Linked DNA regions of Arabidopsis thaliana. The protein of the gene in region 1 interacts with the protein of each later gene in a pairwise test. Each region holds a gene or a part of one and is shown in the gene's direction. Other genes may lie near its edges.

Region 1 (4,007 bases):
ATGACCAGTTAAATCAATTTTCTTGTCCTTTGCAGACACTTGTCCTGGATAGTTGAATCGTAAGGATTGCAAACGTTGAGCTCGTATAAGATCTTCAAGTATAATTCTTTTGACAATGACTGTCCCAACTGGACAACTTATGTCATCTTGTCGAAATGGCAGAGAACTAGTTTTATGAGAAGCGTTGTTATCTTTGGTCCATTTAGGTATAGTTGTGGGTTTCAACTGCATTTATATTTCAATCCATCCAAACATTAATAAGAATTTTATTTATAGATATTTTTTCGTGGTTTGTAGGATAAACCTTAATAGAATGGTTCTTGAGCAAAGGATGATCAAAAGCTAGCTGTTTTTGAATGTCGATGCAGTCAAATATATAACCATGTTCAGTCTGTCGAAATCAAAAGCAAGAAAAAATTGGTGTGGTCTGAAAATAAATGTAACTTGATGATAGTTGTAATATTGTTACAATAGTCAACAATTTTTGTAATGTTTTATGAAAATTTAAGAAAAGAAAGGCTAAATTTACTTGGAAACTTTTGACTGCAGGTTTATTGAGATAGGTAAGTAGCTTCTTCATCTCTTCTTTCTCCTCTTTCGAAGGTATTGTTTTGTGACTCTCTCCAACTAAAATGAGAGCTATTGTTGATAAAGTTAGCAAGATAATTAGTTTATTGGAATACCTCATGATGAATCAAGGATCTTAATCTATATTTTTCAAAAGAAAAAATGAAGCAGAACAACTATATTTATTGTGTCACATAAATCTGAGATCATTTATAACCACCAAAGAACCTATACACAGTAAATGACAAATGTATCTCCCTCTATCTCTATTGCCCATATGTAGATGCTAAAGTAAGATTTCTCTTTTTTTTAATGTACTTTTTTTTGTATAAAGTATATTCCATAAGAAAAAGGAAAAGCTTGTTTATGGATCAATTGACCCCAAAAAAAGTTTTTAGATCAAAGCCCAATATAAAAAAAAAACACAGTAGTGACACAAAGGAACTTAAATAAACCATGAATTGATCTATAAACAGTAGAGATCGATAAGGCGAACATTTTCCATGTGAAGTGTCTTCTTTCATCTATAATATTTTTGACATCCAATAATTTCCTCTATAATATCATTCACATAATTGATAGAAACATTATGTTAGAATTGTCCACATCATTTGAGCTGTAATATATTCTGTTTTAACAAATTATATGGTAGTTGCTTAATCTTATGTCCATCTTCTTCTATGCATCGTTTTCGCGCCTAGTTGTCCAGTCCATTTCAACTACCTACCTCTAATTCTTATCTTAAAACAACATTTTTTAATTTAAGTATTATGCTCAAAGACTAACTAGATAGAAAACCGTTATTAAACATTAAACGAATTAAAAGTCTTACATGGAAAATGTAGGTTTATAAACCACGAGTTATGATTGACAATAAAAAAAATGCAAATCATCAATCAAAAGAGACTTGAGTGCGACTCTATATCAACCATTGCAATTAAAATTATCTATCACAAAAATTTTAGACAGATTAAGTTAATTTAGTCTAAATTCACTAATTTATTTTCTATAATTAGTAATTAACTATATTTATTTATTTACACATTTTCTGATAATTTAGAAATTTGCATGAATAACAAATATAAGATTTTGGAAATTAGTAGCAAATTTAATTAATAATTATTTTTGCCTAAATGAACCAAACTATAAAACCTCCACATACACCAGTCATCAAATTTACAGAGACAACAAACTAAAGTTGGTGGTGATAGAGTGAGAGAGAAACATGGAAGGCAAAGAAGAAGACGTCAATGTTGGAGCCAACAAGTTCCCAGAGAGACAGCCGATCGGTACGGCGGCTCAGACGGAGAGCAAGGACTATAAGGAACCACCACCGGCGCCGTTTTTCGAACCCGGCGAGCTCAAATCTTGGTCTTTCTACAGAGCAGGGATAGCTGAGTTCATAGCCACTTTCCTTTTCCTCTACGTCACCGTTTTGACAGTCATGGGTGTTAAGAGAGCTCCCAATATGTGTGCCTCTGTTGGAATCCAAGGCATCGCTTGGGCTTTTGGTGGCATGATCTTTGCTCTTGTTTACTGTACTGCTGGAATCTCAGGTTCAGGATCTGTTCTTGCTCTGAATTTTGTTTAAAGTTTTCGAATTTAGGTTGAAGGAATCTGGAATTAGGGTTACTTGGTTGTGAGAAACTTGGATATAATGAAGAAAGTTTGATACTTAAAAGTAATTTCACATTTAAAGATTGAAACTTTGAGTAATTTTCTTCTTAAAGTTTGAAACTTTGGTTAGTTTGCCCCACTTTGTTTCTTCTGTGTGAAGATCATAATCTGATTTTGACTTGTGTGTGGCGAATTGGTTTGGTAATGAGCAGGAGGACATATTAATCCGGCGGTGACTTTTGGTTTGTTCTTGGCGAGGAAGCTATCTTTAACCAGAGCTCTGTTCTACATAGTAATGCAGTGCCTTGGAGCTATATGTGGTGCTGGTGTGGTTAAAGGGTTTCAACCAGGGCTGTACCAGACGAATGGCGGTGGAGCTAATGTGGTGGCTCATGGTTACACAAAGGGTTCAGGTCTTGGTGCAGAGATTGTTGGAACTTTTGTTCTGGTTTACACTGTTTTCTCAGCTACTGATGCTAAGAGAAGTGCCAGAGACTCTCATGTCCCTGTATGTTGCTAATTCTCTAGTATCCTTGAGTTGTGTTGAGTTCATATTCTTCACATAGAGCTCATGTGTTTTTTGGTTATCGAACATTTTGCAGATCTTGGCTCCGCTTCCAATTGGGTTTGCTGTCTTCTTGGTGCACTTGGCTACCATCCCAATTACTGGAACTGGCATTAACCCGGCCAGGAGTCTCGGAGCTGCCATCATCTACAACAAGGATCATGCTTGGGATGACCATGTAAGTTTTCCTCTTTAATTACATCAACGGTTGTGCTAAGTATGATAAGTTATGAATTGCATCTAAATAGCAACTCAGAATTTTTGATAATTCTGCTCTTATCTGTTGTCTCTTTTGTTTTATGTGTCTGCAGTGGATCTTCTGGGTCGGTCCATTCATTGGTGCTGCGCTTGCTGCTCTGTACCATCAGATAGTCATCAGAGCTATTCCTTTCAAGTCCAAGACATAAAGTTTCCTACATATTCTCTGATCATCATCAAGCTAAGAATATATCAATCTTTAATTCTATATGCTTTCTTCTTGTTTCCTATGTCATGTGTGATGATCTCTATATGTACCACTAGAGCTTTGATCTTGTAACAGTGTAAATGTGTAATCTATTATGTATCAATGGCATTGTATCTTGTAACATTAATTATGTCAATGGAAGAATACATTGTGTACATGTGTAAGCTCAGAATCTTGTTTGAATATCACAGAGACATAACTGAACTGGACATAGGTATGCTAAGTTGCTAACATTGTCAATAAGTGTTTCCAATACCAAACATTAGCAACATAATTGTAAAATGTGTAGAATTTGATAGAACAACATCTAAGCCGAACTGAACTGGTCTAACACCATCATCGCAAGTATTTCTTCATCTTCTTTCTTCTATAAGAGTCTTTCATTTTCCACTTTTTATAACATGCTTATAACTGAATTTTCAACTTTTGAATCACAGTTTCAGTTATAGATATTCTTGGATGATGTTCAGTTCGGGGTTTTGGTTTTGGTTTTGGTTTTGGTTGATAGTCATGAAAATGCATGTTCTGTTCCACATGGTAGGGTTCCAGTAAAATAATAAAAGAACCAGATTTAGTAACATCTTTCACATGAATGATAACATATTTCACATGTTTGATGCAGCAACTTGTAATATGGATGATAGTCATGAAAGAATCTAATGGGCCAAGAAATGTGAAAGAGTCTACATGACTATCATCCAAAAAAGAGTTGTAGCAATATGGATGGGCCAAGAAAGTGCAAGACTTCAGCTTGAGCTTGACTTTAAGAGAATAAGTAATTTGCATTTGCCC
Region 2 (4,100 bases), on another chromosome or scaffold:
CAATTGACATGAGAAACCCATTTGTCACGAAATCATCATAAACAACCATATGTTGAATTCTTCTCTTTCGTCGAGGTTAGTAGAGAACATATCTGGTTGCTCAGTGGGAGTGACATTAAAAACGTCGTCTATGTATTGTAGATTAGGTATTTCAATGATACCTAGTTGAGGATCTCTCAAATAGCTTATAATCTTTGGTAGGACAAGATCCTCCATATTCGTATGCAAATGGACATTGGCAAAGTTATGTGGTAGCTCATATTCCCGTTCTGCTAAGGCCATCTTTTTGTGCTCTTCAGAGCAATACCGAGATTCAGGTGCGTAGACACATGTACAAGACCAGTACGCGAAGGCCTTATCTTTATGCACATAATGCATAACACGAAGATTGGCAACACCCATTGCAGAAACCTGCTAATACACATTGTTAGGTCTAGAGAAAAAAACTCTCTCTCGCAACTTTGAAGATTTTGTTTGCTCTTTGGATTGTCGAGATTGTTTCATTTCGTGTTTTTATATTATTTTTTACTTTTAGTTTTGGATTTGAATCTTAGGTTTAAAAAAGAAAAAGAAAAATTGTGATCAAAACGACATGGTTTGATTGAAGATGATGCTAATTCATTAAACATGGGTCATTTGAGTCGACGTATGTTAGTATTAACTAACATTTGTTATTGCAGATCCTAAAATACGTGCGACCTATAAAGTTTGGATATAATTTTTTTTTTTTTATGAATTTGGGTAAAGAATTAACATTGTACAGTATGTTTTATATAAGAAAACAATACTTTGCAAATTGTACTGGTATAAAAATATCGTTTTTCCAGTCACCCGCTTACGTTTGGTCCAAGTTGTTTTTAATTTTATACCGAATTAAAGTTTATTAGTCACAACTTTAAGTGTTTTTTCCAAACCCAAATCAAAATTCGATTTTTTTCGTCACAACTTTGAATCAGCCCCTTCACCTTTGCAGCCACATCTAACCGAATGCCCACCTAGACAACATCTTATAATGCGTCTTTTTATTATTATTATCCAAAAATAATTAAATTAGTGAGGTTTCTTACGTGATTATTCCTTGTTAATTAAACATCTGAATTTCCGTAAGCGAGTTCGAAACACGTAATTAAATATTGTAGGTAATATATAACAACCAAACTGGGTTTCCTCTCTTTCTTTGTTAGAAAAAACTAATAAATTAGATAAAACAAGTTCACCAACAAGGCAAACATTTCACGGTCAATTTTTCAGCTCACCCGAATTTGAGAATCTCTAGACGAAACCAAATCTCTTTCTAACTAATTCTTTTTTTGCTTTTCTTGTACCTCTTCACAATTTCAAAACCCAATTAAAAAAAAAAAAAAAAAAGAACCAACTACATATCTTAATTTCTTAGATATTTTTTTTGGTCAACCAATTTCATTAGAAATTAAAAAATACAAGAAAAACAACAAATGTTTAATTTCATATAAATTTATCTAACTGTATCAATATTATTTACGAACAAATTCTTTATTAAGAAAAACAAATTAAGCATTTTAAGCTTGGAATCATAAATATCTTTGGTTTAATTTAGTCATAGTCAAGTGCTTTTCGGTTTTCATGGAAGGCAATAAGAGAAAGCTAATAAAGTCTTGAAGCTTTTGAATGTTTGAATAATAAAGGAGAGGTTCCTTAAAGTTTGGTGTGTTAGTTCATCTTCTCTACCATTTATTCTTCACTTAATCTCACACTCTTTGCTCAATTTGTTGATTTCTCTATCTCTCAAAGTTTGATGCTTTCTTTTTCCTTCTTTCTTTCTTAGATGGAATTGCCGGTAAAAGCTCCTATTCCCGGTGGCCGGGAAATCTCATATAGATTAGAAACCAAGAATCTGTCGTATAGAATAGGCGGAAACACTCCAAAGTTTTCTAATTTATGTGGTTTGTTGAGTGAGAAGGAGGAAAAGGTTATCTTAAAGGATGTTTCTTGTGATGCAAGATCCGCGGAGATCACTGCGATCGCGGGTCCAAGCGGAGCAGGGAAAACCACGTTGCTGGAGATTCTAGCCGGAAAAGTTTCTCATGGGAAAGTTTCAGGGCAAGTGCTTGTCAACGGTAGGCCTATGGATGGTCCTGAGTACAGGAGGGTTTCAGGGTTTGTGCCACAAGAAGATGCTCTGTTTCCGTTTCTTACGGTGCAAGAAACACTGACGTACAGCGCACTCTTGAGGCTGAAGACAAAGAGGAAAGACGCGGCTGCAAAGGTGAAGAGGCTGATTCAAGAGCTTGGTCTAGAACATGTTGCGGATTCAAGGATCGGTCAAGGATCAAGATCTGGAATCTCTGGAGGAGAGAGAAGAAGGGTTTCTATTGGAGTTGAACTTGTTCATGATCCAAATGTTATATTGATCGATGAGCCAACCTCTGGTTTGGATTCTGCGTCCGCTCTTCAAGTTGTGACGCTTCTCAAAGATATGACGATTAAACAAGGTAAAACCATTGTTCTGACGATTCACCAGCCTGGTTTTCGCATACTCGAGCAGATAGACCGGATAGTGTTGCTCTCTAACGGGATGGTTGTTCAAAACGGATCAGTTTATAGCCTTCATCAGAAGATTAAGTTCTCCGGTCACCAGATTCCTAGGCGGGTAAATGTCTTGGAGTATGCAATTGATATTGCAGGGAGTCTTGAACCGATCAGAACCCAGAGTTGCAGAGAAATCTCATGTTATGGTCATAGCAAAACATGGAAGAGTTGCTATATTAGTGCAGGAGGAGAGCTTCATCAATCTGATTCTCACAGCAACTCAGTGTTAGAGGAAGTGCAGATACTCGGGCAAAGATCTTGCAAGAACATCTTCAGAACCAAGCAATTGTTCACAACCAGAGCCTTACAAGCTTCCATTGCCGGTCTTATACTGGGGTCGATTTACTTGAACGTAGGAAATCAAAAGAAAGAAGCGAAAGTCTTGCGAACCGGGTTCTTCGCCTTTATCCTCACTTTCCTGCTATCTTCCACAACAGAGGGACTTCCAATTTTCTTGCAAGACAGGAGAATCCTAATGAGAGAGACATCGAGAAGGGCTTACAGAGTTTTGTCTTACGTTTTAGCAGATACTCTCATATTCATTCCCTTCTTGTTGATCATAAGCATGCTCTTTGCTACGCCGGTTTATTGGCTGGTCGGTCTCAGAAGAGAGCTAGACGGCTTCCTCTACTTCTCATTGGTGATATGGATTGTTCTTCTGATGTCAAACTCTTTTGTCGCATGTTTCAGTGCTCTTGTCCCAAACTTCATAATGGGGACATCAGTAATCTCAGGTCTCATGGGATCTTTCTTCCTCTTCTCCGGGTATTTCATTGCAAAGGACAGGATCCCCGTTTACTGGGAGTTCATGCATTATCTCAGCCTCTTCAAGTATCCATTCGAATGCCTGATGATCAACGAGTATCGAGGAGACGTGTTCTTAAAACAACAAGACCTCAAAGAGTCTCAGAAATGGAGCAATCTTGGTATCATGGCAAGTTTCATCGTCGGGTACAGAGTCCTTGGATTCTTCATCTTATGGTACAGATGTTACAGAACAAGAAGCTAGGTTAATAACAATGATCTGCAGATATAATTCAATTTGTTTTGTAATTTTATAAGAAATTTTACTTTCTCATATTCTTTCTTTTTGTTCAGCACTTTCTTATATTCTAAAATTCGCAATGTAAAGTAACAAAAAAACTTTCTGATAAAAACAGAGTAAACTCGTTTATTTATAAGACAGTTTTAAGCATCACACTTAGTACAAAGCTCACCACAACAACGGTACACTCATTGATCGTTTGATACTAAAGCCTTTTTCTTATTAAAGTCACTCTTACCTAAGATACTCATGAGTTTACACAAGTGTTGCCTTTGAGAGCTGAAGTCCTTTCTCGCGCCCGTAAAACTTCTCTACAATTGCAAGTGCAAACTCCAATGAGGTTCCTGGACCCCTGCTCGTTATGAGATTGCCGTCCACCAAGACTCGATGCTCGATGTGACTCTGGTCCGTCAGTTTGCTGCACATTGCTGGAAACGCTGTTGCCTTCTTACCCTGTAAAAAAATCCATTAAAAATTGTGACCCTTC
Region 3 (5,318 bases), on another chromosome or scaffold:
CTGGATCTGTGAACTGGCAATTGCAGAATAAGCTTATCACTGTGACACCGGAGACCAAGGTCTTGCGTGCTATGCAACTGATGACAGGTAAGCAGACAACTTGATATTTTTCCACTAAAGATACAAGCTTTTGGGTTTAAAACCTACTGAAGCAAATAAAAATGCGGGTTTGTGTTTTTGTAATGTACAGATAACCGAATCAGGCATATTCCGGTAATCAAAGACAAGGGCATGATTGGAATGGTGTCCATAGGAGATGTTGTCCGTGCAGTGGTTCATGAGCATAGAGAGGAGCTTCAACGCCTAAATGCGTATATTCAGGGAGGTTACTAGATCTTGAATAATGGAAAGAAAAGAGTTCCCTGTTGTGTCGTCTGGTCTTGTGCTGCTGAATCTGAAAAGCTTCCAGATCAGTGTAAATATGCAGTCCTCGTTGTTATTGTTGTTGTTGTTGTGTTTGATGTTTTGTGTTGTTTCGTTGTTTAACTTGTCAAAACTAAGGCCTTGTGCTGCTTCTCTTCTTGCGCTTACTTAGCAAGAGAATAAAACCAAAAACTCTGATCTCTTTATGAAAGATATGATGTTTGTTTTTGTTATCAAATCTTGCGTCAAGTATCCATGTGTGTTATGAAATAATAGAATTACTTTGAAAATTTGATTTCGGTACAAAGTTTCCGTGTCTTTGGACCATGAAAAATATCTTAACAAGTAAACCAATTCTTTGAATACAAACAAGTAAACCAAGGCAAAATATAAAACGATAGATTTTCTTCAAATCAAATCGATTATGGTGTGGTCACAATATCGTCTCTCAAGGGATCAAACTCCGGTGACCAAGCTTGCACCATGAGATAGCGATCAAACGCCCTCCATGGACCTCCTGTCAACGCTGCCATGTATTCCTCCTCCGCTTCGAACCGAATCATGAAAAACTTACGAGGGAGATCCACAACAGACATTGCTCCTCGTGGTTTCCACATCTCTCGAAGCTTTCTACTTAATGCTGATATTGTCATGTTACGCCCGGGCACTTTCACGATCAAGCTGTTCTTCAACAAACCATTCATCGCCGCCAATACCTCACTGCCAATTGTTATCACTGGTTCTCCATCCTCACCATCAGGGAACTCCAGTGTCATTTGCTCAGACACAAACTCATCATCTAAGATATCATTCGGATTTAGGATACCACCTAAATGTCCCCCCACCACTTTCTTCACCCACGAACCCGGTGCATCAGGAGGGTCTCCCGGAGAATGACCTTTCTCTCCTAGGTCCGTCATGGTCACATCTTGCGTTTCAGATCTCAAGCCTCCGGCGGCGTCGCCCATTTTCTCTCTATCGATTATATTGAGACCACATTTTAACACAATCTTAAAAATGTATAGCAAATGCTTAAAAATCTTGATTGACTTTAATTAATCATGGTTTATCGGATTGGTTTATCCTAGGGTGGGCTTATCGAGTTAGGCCCATTGGTTATGTAGGCTTATAGCTCGTAGAAAGACTTCATGCGTAGTGACGTGGTGAATTATTAATGGTTGATAAGGATCAAACATAAACGAGCCAAACCGGAAAAATAAACCGGGAAGTATTAAATCACAATTAGAGGCGGGTCTTGGTCTCGAGTCTCGAAGCGTATAAGAGTCAAATACAACTGTAGCGTAGCTTCAGATCTGGTTATTTTCTTCCTTCGTGTGGAACAGCCATGGCTATGGAGTTTCTGAGGAGCAGTAGAAGAATATTGGAATCTTCTGGATGCGCGATCGCTTTGATTTTTCTGCTCTTCATCCATGGAGCTCACTCATTCTATCTCCCAGGTGTTGCTCCTCAGGATTTCGAGAAGGTAAAAACGTTTCGAATTTGTGCTTCTAGGCTTTTAGATCTGATTTGGATCTCCTGGATCTGCGTTTCGATTTCCGCTAGGATTAATCCGTTCTTGATTCCCGAGAAAGCTAGAGATAGTGAGAGTTGGAGTGCTGATGCACCGACTTTTGGTTTAGCTATTTTTCTAATAGAATTGGTGATTTCACTTCATTTCCGCTTCACTAATCTCTCGATCTGAACAATGTAGCGTCTTAGGCGAGCTATATCGATATTTATTCTTCTGGATTAGCCTTATTCGCTGTAATTTTGATTACCTTTGTTAGGTTCTTAGTGATCTCTCGCTCTTGATTCGCTTGCCATTACTACGAAATCCAAGTTATGGGTACAAGGGCAATGTCGGTCCTGCATGTTATATGACGAGTCTCAATCAAAGTAGACTTGCATGTTTCACTTCAAAATCATATTCAAATTTTGAGTCTTGTTTTCTTGTATGTTGCAGGGTGATGAGCTGAAGGTGAAAGTGAATAAATTAACTTCCATAAAGACTCAGCTTCCATACTCGTATTACTCCCTTCCTTTTTGTCGCCCTAGCAAGATTGTGGACAGTACTGAGAATCTTGGAGAAGTGCTTCGGGGTGACCGGATTGAGAATGCCCCATACTCGGTTAGTCTCGTATTCAATTTTTAATTTTGTAATTCATCAGGCTGTCAAAAATATTATGTCTGTGATTTAACTCTAACCCTTGCGGGGCTGAAACAATTGCAGTTTAAAATGCGGGAGGCACAAATGTGCAATATTCTCGGCCGGGTCACTCTTGATGCCAAGACAGCTAAAGCGTTTAAAGAAAAGATCGATGATGAGTACCGGGTCAACATGTAAGACCAAATACAGGCACTTTTCTTTGATTATTTGTATGAAGAACATGCTTTTCTCTGTCAGTTTTATTATAAGTGTTTCTGGTCTGTGTTAGGATCCTCGACAACCTTCCTCTGGTTGTTCCAATTGAAAGAGTCGACCAGGGTTCTCCCTCTGTTGTTTATCAGCTTGGTTATCATGTTGGTCTTAAAGGCCAGTACGAGGGGGTAAGTAGGTTTTAATTGTTAAGACACTAAATGGAATTCATGCTAGATCGTTCGATTTTCTAATTTTGTTTTTGCATACGCAGAGCAAAGAGCAGAAGTTCTTTATGCACAATCACTTGGCATTTACAGTCCGCTATCACAGAGATATCCAAACTGATGCTGCAAGAATCGTGGGATTTGAGGTTAAACCTTACAGGTGCAGTTCTTGTTCATAATTTGAATGTCTCTTGGGATCCCCTGTCATTCAGAACTGATATTCCCTCCGTTGATTTGTAGTGTGAAGCATGAGTATGAGGGAGAGTGGAGTGAGAAGACCCGTCTGACGACTTGTGATCCTCACACGAAACGCCTGGTCGTTAGCTCGGCTACCCCTCAAGAAGTTGAACAAAAGAAGGAGATTATCTTCACATATGACGTCGATTTCCAGGCAAGTTTTTTCTTAAGTAATCTGCGGTTTGTGTCTTAAAAAAATTTCATGAATTCTTGTTTTCAATAGTTTTTCTGATTTCCTCTTCTGTTTCTGTCCAGGAAAGTGAAGTGAAGTGGGCATCTAGATGGGATACTTATCTTCTGATGAGTGATAACCAAATCCACTGGTTCTCTATCGTCAATTCTCTGATGATCGTCCTATTCCTATCTGGTATGGTGGCAATGATAATGCTGAGGACCCTTTACCGTGACATTTCACGATACAACGAGCTCGAGACTCAAGAAGAAGCTCAAGAAGAGACAGGATGGAAGCTTGTCCATGGTGATGTTTTCAGACTTCCTACCAATTCTGATCTGCTCTGCGTCTATGTTGGAACAGGGGTCCAGTGTCTAGGCATGGTATTTGTCACAATGATCTTCGCCATGCTCGGATTTCTCTCCCCTTCCAATCGGGGTGGTCTGATGACTGCAATGCTCTTGCTCTGGGTCTTCATGGGACTCTTTGCTGGTTACGCCTCTTCACGTCTCTACAAAATGTTCAAAGGAACAGAGTGGAAGAGAATCGCTTTCAGAACAGCCTTCTTGTTTCCTGCAGTTGTGTCAGCAATCTTCTTTGTCCTAAACGCTCTCATCTGGGGACAGAAGTCATCTGGGGCTGTCCCCTTTGGAACAATGTTCGCCTTGATCTTCCTCTGGTTTGGCATCTCAGTTCCTCTCGTCTTTGTTGGGGGTTACATTGGGTTCAAGAAGCCAGCGGCTGATGACCCAGTGAAAACCAACAAAATCCCGAGGCAAATCCCAGAGCAAGCTTGGTACATGAACCCGGTTTTCTCAATCCTCATTGGAGGAATCTTACCGTTTGGTGCAGTCTTCATCGAGCTCTTCTTCATCCTCACATCCATCTGGCTCAACCAGTTCTACTACATCTTTGGGTTCCTCTTCCTCGTCTTTGTAATCCTCATTGTGACTTGCGCCGAGATAACCGTAGTACTCTGCTACTTCCAGCTTTGCAGTGAGGACTACCTTTGGTGGTGGAGATCATACCTCACATCAGGCTCATCAGCTCTCTACCTCTTCCTCTATGCCACGTTCTACTTCTTCACAAAGCTTCAGATCACCAAACTGGTCTCTGCGATGCTTTACTTTGGGTACATGCTCATCGCCTCCTACGCATTTTTTGTGCTCACAGGAACAATAGGGTTCTATGCTTGTCTCTGGTTCACAAGGCTCATCTATTCCTCTGTTAAGATCGATTAGAGGATATGATGATCATCATGGCGATTAAGGAAACAAAGAAGAAAAGGTGATCATAGTTTATCTTATTTTTCTTTTTAAAATCGGTTTTGTTGCATTTTAGGTTCTATTTTGTTGCATACCAAAAGAGATTTTAATATATGTAATAGAGTGTATTTTGTTTGATTTGTCAAATAACAACACTTTCTGAGAATTTTTGCAATATAACCAATTTTTATAAATAAACTCAAATGAGAACAACAATCAATCATGGTTTGGTGATATCAAACTCTAACTTTTCCTGCAATCATAAAAGCTTTGTAAACGACGGAACGAACCAGATCAGAACCTCCCCAAGCGGTTTCAAGCTCTCTCACCAAACTCTCCGGTAACAACTCGACGCCTTTCTCTCTCGCCGTGACGATGGCCGACCATGATTTAAACATCCTTATGATCCCTTCAAACGACGTCGTTTTAGGCATCTCCAGCTTTAATGGCTCCCCTTCTGATCCCATCCCAACATTTTCGAAAGGAAACGGCAATGCTTCGTACGAATCGAAGATGTGCTGAATGTACGGATACTTCCAAAACGGCAGCGTTGTGGCGTGGAGCCGATACTGGACGGCGTCGAACTCTGGACTCACTATGACGTCGTTGTATCCCCAGACAGCGATGATTCCGCCTGGTTTACGGAGGAGTCGTGTGGCCACTGAGTAGAACCTAGGGAGATCGAACCAGTGTACGCC
Region 4 (4,386 bases), on another chromosome or scaffold:
AAACTAATGAATCTTATTTCTTTAATGCAAGTCTTACAACAGCAAGTTTGCACTATGTGATTCCAGGTGGAGTCGCGGCGGCTGTGAGGTATGAACTCAAATTTTTAACCAAACATATTCAACATCTTCTTCCTAAACAATAATAGTCATTTGGTTTCTTGCAGCACACGCGTGTCAAACAAATTGGGAGCTGGGATTCCTCAAGTTGCTAGGGTTTCAGTATTGGCAGGGCTTTGTCTCTGGCTTGTAGAGTCAGCTTTCTTTAGCACACTTCTCTTCACATGCCGAAACATTATAGGCTACGCATTCAGCAACAGCAAAGAAGTTGTGGACTATGTGGCTAACCTAACTCCTTTGCTCTGCCTCTCCTTTATCCTCGACGGTTTCACAGCAGTTCTGAATGGGGTTGCAAGGGGAAGTGGTTGGCAACACATTGGAGCTTTGAACAACGTGGTAGCTTATTATCTTGTAGGAGCTCCTGTTGGAGTATACTTAGCTTTCAATCGTGAGTTGAACGGAAAAGGACTTTGGTGTGGTGTTGTGGTCGGATCCGCTGTGCAAGCCATAATATTGGCTTTTGTCACAGCTTCCATAAATTGGAAGGAACAGGTAAAACACTTAGAATAGAAGATTCGTCATTTTAGCATGTTATACTTGTACATTCTTTTTTGTTCTTTCTTTAATACTATGAAGTAATTTTAATCTATGATTTGCAGGCTGAGAAGGCTAGGAAGAGAATGGTCTCTAGTGAAAATAGATTGGCTTAAACTAAGGATGTTTCTGAGAGCTATCTCAAACTATTTTTGTAGGTGTTGAGCAAATTTTTATGTATGGTATATTAATGTGTTAAAAAATGTTCTTACAAAATAATTTATATGTATGATTTTTTCTCAGCCTATCTTTTTCACTATGTTGTGTAACTTGTAAGTGTATAATCATCATTTATCCATAAACATGCTTTTCTTAATTTTTTCACATGTCATTCCCAATAAATTTATTTTATGGTATTTGTGACTATAACCACAATCTTCTACCAATAAATCTTAGTGAACCCTTTCCGAGAGAGCTTTTAGGCTCATAATACAATACTATTCAGATTTTGAAACTCGGACCTTCACGACAAATCTCTGACGAAACTTTGGATTCTACTTGAGAGCGGCTGTCACTTTTAGTTTCAACCACAAATGATTTACTAAAACCTGTGTAAAATCAGATCCAAATGTCTTTAAAGTGGTCTAAAGAATCAAAACTTAAGGTAAGCAAATTACTTAAATTAGAGTCAAACTTTAGGACTATATAAAAATATAAAAATCCACAAAAGTAATTAATACAAGATTGAATGTTCAAACTCTACAAAACAAAATAATTCATATTAGTCTTCAGTCTTCACATATGTTCTTATGTAAATAATTAAAAAGTATTAACACTAATGACATGTCATTTTTAATATGTATATTCTATATATCTATTTTTATAATATAGTATATTCGTGTGCCACTAGTATCTATATTTTCAAACAAGTCAAAACGAATTTGCTTCTTTACTCATCATATCTACTTCGTCACCACGTTTGTAGTTCAAGTTGCCTTTGTTGTTTATTGACTTAGTCGGTCTATAAAGATAGGATAAATATCATCTTAAAATCAAAGGGAAAGGCCTTCAACGTTAAACAATGGAGGAGCCATTTCTTCTGAGAGACGAGCTTCTAGTCCCTTCTCAAGTCACATGGCATACAAATCCATTAACCGTCGAGCTAAAGAGAGTGAGCCGCTTGGCCGCTCCTATGGCCACTGTGACCATTGCTCAGTACTTATTGCCTGTCATCTCGGTCATGGTCGCTGGCCACAACGGCGAGCTCCAGCTCTCCGGTGTCGCTCTTGCAAACTCCTTCACAAACGTCACCGGTTTTAGCATTATGGTAATTATGCTATGACTCTAACCTTTTCAACTCAAGAATCAAATGGACTCTCTCAAGTATTGAAAACACTTCAATTATTTTTGTGCAGTGTGGATTAGTGGGTGCACTTGAAACTCTTTGTGGCCAAGCTTATGGAGCCAAACAATATGAAAAAATCGGAACTTACGCATACTCTGCTATTGCTTCCAACATACCAATTTGTTTCCTCATATCAATTCTCTGGCTTTACATCGAAAAGATCTTGATTTCTCTCGGACAAGACCCTGAAATTTCAAGAATCGCTGGCTCCTACGCCTTTTGGCTTATACCGGCTTTATTTGGCCAAGCGATTGTCATACCACTGTCCCGGTTTCTGCTAACACAAGGGTTGGTTATTCCTCTGCTCTTCACTGCCGTGACCACCCTTTTGTTCCACGTTTTGGTTTGTTGGACTTTGGTTTTCTTGTTTGGTCTGGGATGTAATGGACCTGCCATGGCTACAAGTGTGTCTTTCTGGTTTTACGCTGTGATACTCTCATGTTATGTGAGATTCTCCAGCTCTTGCGAGAAGACTCGCGGATTTGTATCCCGAGATTTTGTGTCTTCTATCAAGCAGTTCTTCCAATACGGAATCCCATCAGCTGCAATGATTTGGTAAGTCATTTTAAGTTGTTTGTCCGTCAAGTTACATACCCTAATGCTCTTCTTCTTATCCCGCTTGCATTTTCTCGGTCTTCTTTAATAGTCTAGAATGGTGGCTATTTGAGATACTCATACTCTGCTCAGGTCTTCTCCCTAACCCGAAACTCGAGACCTCTGTTCTTTCAATTTGGTAAGTACCATAGAAGGACTTCTTTTTATCTTTTGTGGTCTCTTTACTAAAAACTAATGAATCCTGTTTCCTTCTTTTCAGTCTTACAATAGAAACTTTGCACTATGTGATTTCAGCTGGAGTCGCCGCGGCTGTGAGGTATGAATATGATCTCAGTTTTATCATTCAGAACATCTTCATCTTATTATAGACAATTCTTTCCTAAACATTTAGTGATTGGTTTCTTGCAGCACACGTGTATCAAACAATTTGGGAGCTGGGAATCCTCAAGTTGCTAGGGTTTCAGTATTAGCAGGGCTTTGTCTCTGGATAGTAGAGTCAGCTTTCTTTAGCATACTTCTATTCACCTGCAGGAACATCATAGGATACGCATTCAGCAACAGCAAAGAAGTTTTGGACTATGTAGCTGACCTAACTCCTTTGCTCTGCCTCTCCTTTATCCTCGACGGCTTCACAGCAGTTCTAAATGGAGTTGCTAGGGGAAGTGGTTGGCAACACATTGGAGCTTGGAACAATACTGTTTCTTATTATCTTGTAGGAGCTCCTGTTGGAATTTACTTAGCTTTCAGTCGTGAGTTGAACGGAAAAGGACTGTGGTGCGGTGTTGTGGTTGGATCTACTGTGCAAGCCACTATACTGGCTATTGTCACAGCTTCCATAAATTGGAAGGAACAGGTAAATAGCCATTTCAGCTTTTTACACTTGTAAATTCTTTTATGTTCATTCATTAATGCTATGAAGTAATCTATGATTTTGCAGGCTGAGAAGGCAAGGAAGAGAATTGTCTCAACTGAAAACAGATTGGCTTAAACAAATGATGTTTCTCATAGTTATCTCAAACTATTTGTATGCCTTATGCAAATTTTTTTTGAAAGATGTTTATAAAAGAGGGTCATTTGTTTTCTTAATCAATTTTATGACAAGGATTTATAAGTTTTCTTCAATTTTGGTATACAAATGTAATAATTACAAGTGAACAAAAACCTCATTGGTTCCAAACGGGGATGATCCCTTGTGCAGCAAGACGCTTCTCGACCCAAAACACAACGTGGTTCGCAGTTGGTTTCCTCTCGTCGACAAGAAATGGTTCCACGGTGCTCGGACCTGACCCGTGTGAGGAAATTGAAAATCCTTTTGCTCCTGTTTTAAGCAACAAACCAAAAGACATAATGTTCCATTGAAATTTTCTGTAACAAGAGTCTCAAGTAAAAGATTCAATACTTCACCTGTAAGGTTTCCAGTAGGGAAAAAGGCCCAAAAGGAATATGGAATACTTTTCTTTAAGAAAAAACCTTCCAACTGACACAAATAATGATAATTGTCTTAGAAGTTTAATCAAGAAGACATTTTGAGAACATCCAATAAAACTGGAGCCATATAGGGTAGAGAGATGGCCCCATAAGCATGGCAACAAAGCATTAGAAGTTAGAAGCAAGAAACCTTATCGTCTTGGAAAGATAAATCTATGTCAGAGATATCATCTTGAGATTCAAGAATGGCTTGTAAAGGAGGAATCACGTCTTCTTCCATCATTTGTCTCAGCGGTTTCGCCACTGCAGCCGCTTTAGCTGCGGGTTTAGGTTTCTTTGCCGGAACCGCCACTGTTGACTCTTCTCCTTCTTCTTTGTTTTTCTTTTCAGTAGCAACTAGGAAGAGA

What was found.
Region 2: the proteins of PIP1;5 (region 1) and ABCG10 interact in a protein complementation assay, tested with the Arabidopsis thaliana proteins (one large-scale study listed by BioGRID).
Region 3: the proteins of PIP1;5 (region 1) and EMP1 interact in a protein complementation assay, tested with the Arabidopsis thaliana proteins (one large-scale study listed by BioGRID).
Region 4: the proteins of PIP1;5 (region 1) and DTX1 interact in a protein complementation assay, tested with the Arabidopsis thaliana proteins (one large-scale study listed by BioGRID).

The regions. Positions count from the first base shown.
Region 1 is NC_003075.7:12,219,000-12,223,006, forward strand, and holds PIP1;5 (plasma membrane intrinsic protein 1;5), read left to right. Parts: upstream 1-1,641; 5' UTR 1,642-1,792; coding exon 1,793-2,123; intron 2,124-2,396; coding exon 2,397-2,692; intron 2,693-2,786; coding exon 2,787-2,927; intron 2,928-3,060; coding exon 3,061-3,156; 3' UTR 3,157-3,469; downstream 3,470-4,007. Other genes in the region: AT4G23390 (NEP-interacting protein, putative (DUF239)), read right to left, coding at 1-225, 305-391, 530-688. UniProt on the Arabidopsis thaliana protein: Aquaporins facilitate the transport of water and small neutral solutes across cell membranes.
Region 2 is NC_003070.9:19,861,074-19,865,173, forward strand, and holds ABCG10 (ABC-2 type transporter family protein), read left to right. Parts: upstream 1-1,747; 5' UTR 1,748-1,804; coding exon 1,805-3,577; downstream 3,578-4,100. Other genes in the region: AT1G53265 (uncharacterized protein), read right to left, coding at 25-402; DJ1B (Class I glutamine amidotransferase-like superfamily protein), read right to left, coding at 3,869-4,066.
Region 3 is NC_003076.8:3,424,188-3,429,505, reverse strand, and holds EMP1 (Endomembrane protein 70 protein family), read left to right. Parts: upstream 1-1,608; 5' UTR 1,609-1,708; coding exon 1,709-1,846; intron 1,847-2,326; coding exon 2,327-2,491; intron 2,492-2,593; coding exon 2,594-2,703; intron 2,704-2,798; coding exon 2,799-2,910; intron 2,911-2,993; coding exon 2,994-3,106; intron 3,107-3,186; coding exon 3,187-3,337; intron 3,338-3,438; coding exon 3,439-4,596; 3' UTR 4,597-4,818; downstream 4,819-5,318. Other genes in the region: CBSX3 (Cystathionine beta-synthase (CBS) family protein), read left to right, coding at 27-87, 191-333; AT5G10830 (S-adenosyl-L-methionine-dependent methyltransferases superfamily protein), read right to left, coding at 4,857-5,318.
Region 4 is NC_003071.7:1,333,767-1,338,152, reverse strand, and holds DTX1 (MATE efflux family protein), read left to right. Parts: upstream 1-1,602; 5' UTR 1,603-1,672; coding exon 1,673-1,918; intron 1,919-2,006; coding exon 2,007-2,551; intron 2,552-2,642; coding exon 2,643-2,729; intron 2,730-2,810; coding exon 2,811-2,867; intron 2,868-2,959; coding exon 2,960-3,404; intron 3,405-3,488; coding exon 3,489-3,539; 3' UTR 3,540-3,695; coding exon of another isoform or gene 3,696-3,869; 3' UTR 3,870-3,883; downstream 3,884-4,386. Other genes in the region: AT2G04050 (MATE efflux family protein), read left to right, coding at 32-88, 165-609, 717-767; AT2G04039 (DUF2996 family protein), read right to left, coding at 3,696-3,866, 3,951-4,028, 4,170-4,375. UniProt on the Arabidopsis thaliana protein: Efflux carrier for plant-derived alkaloids, antibiotics, heavy metal and other toxic compounds. Involved in cadmium detoxification. Requires probably a proton-motive force for the efflux.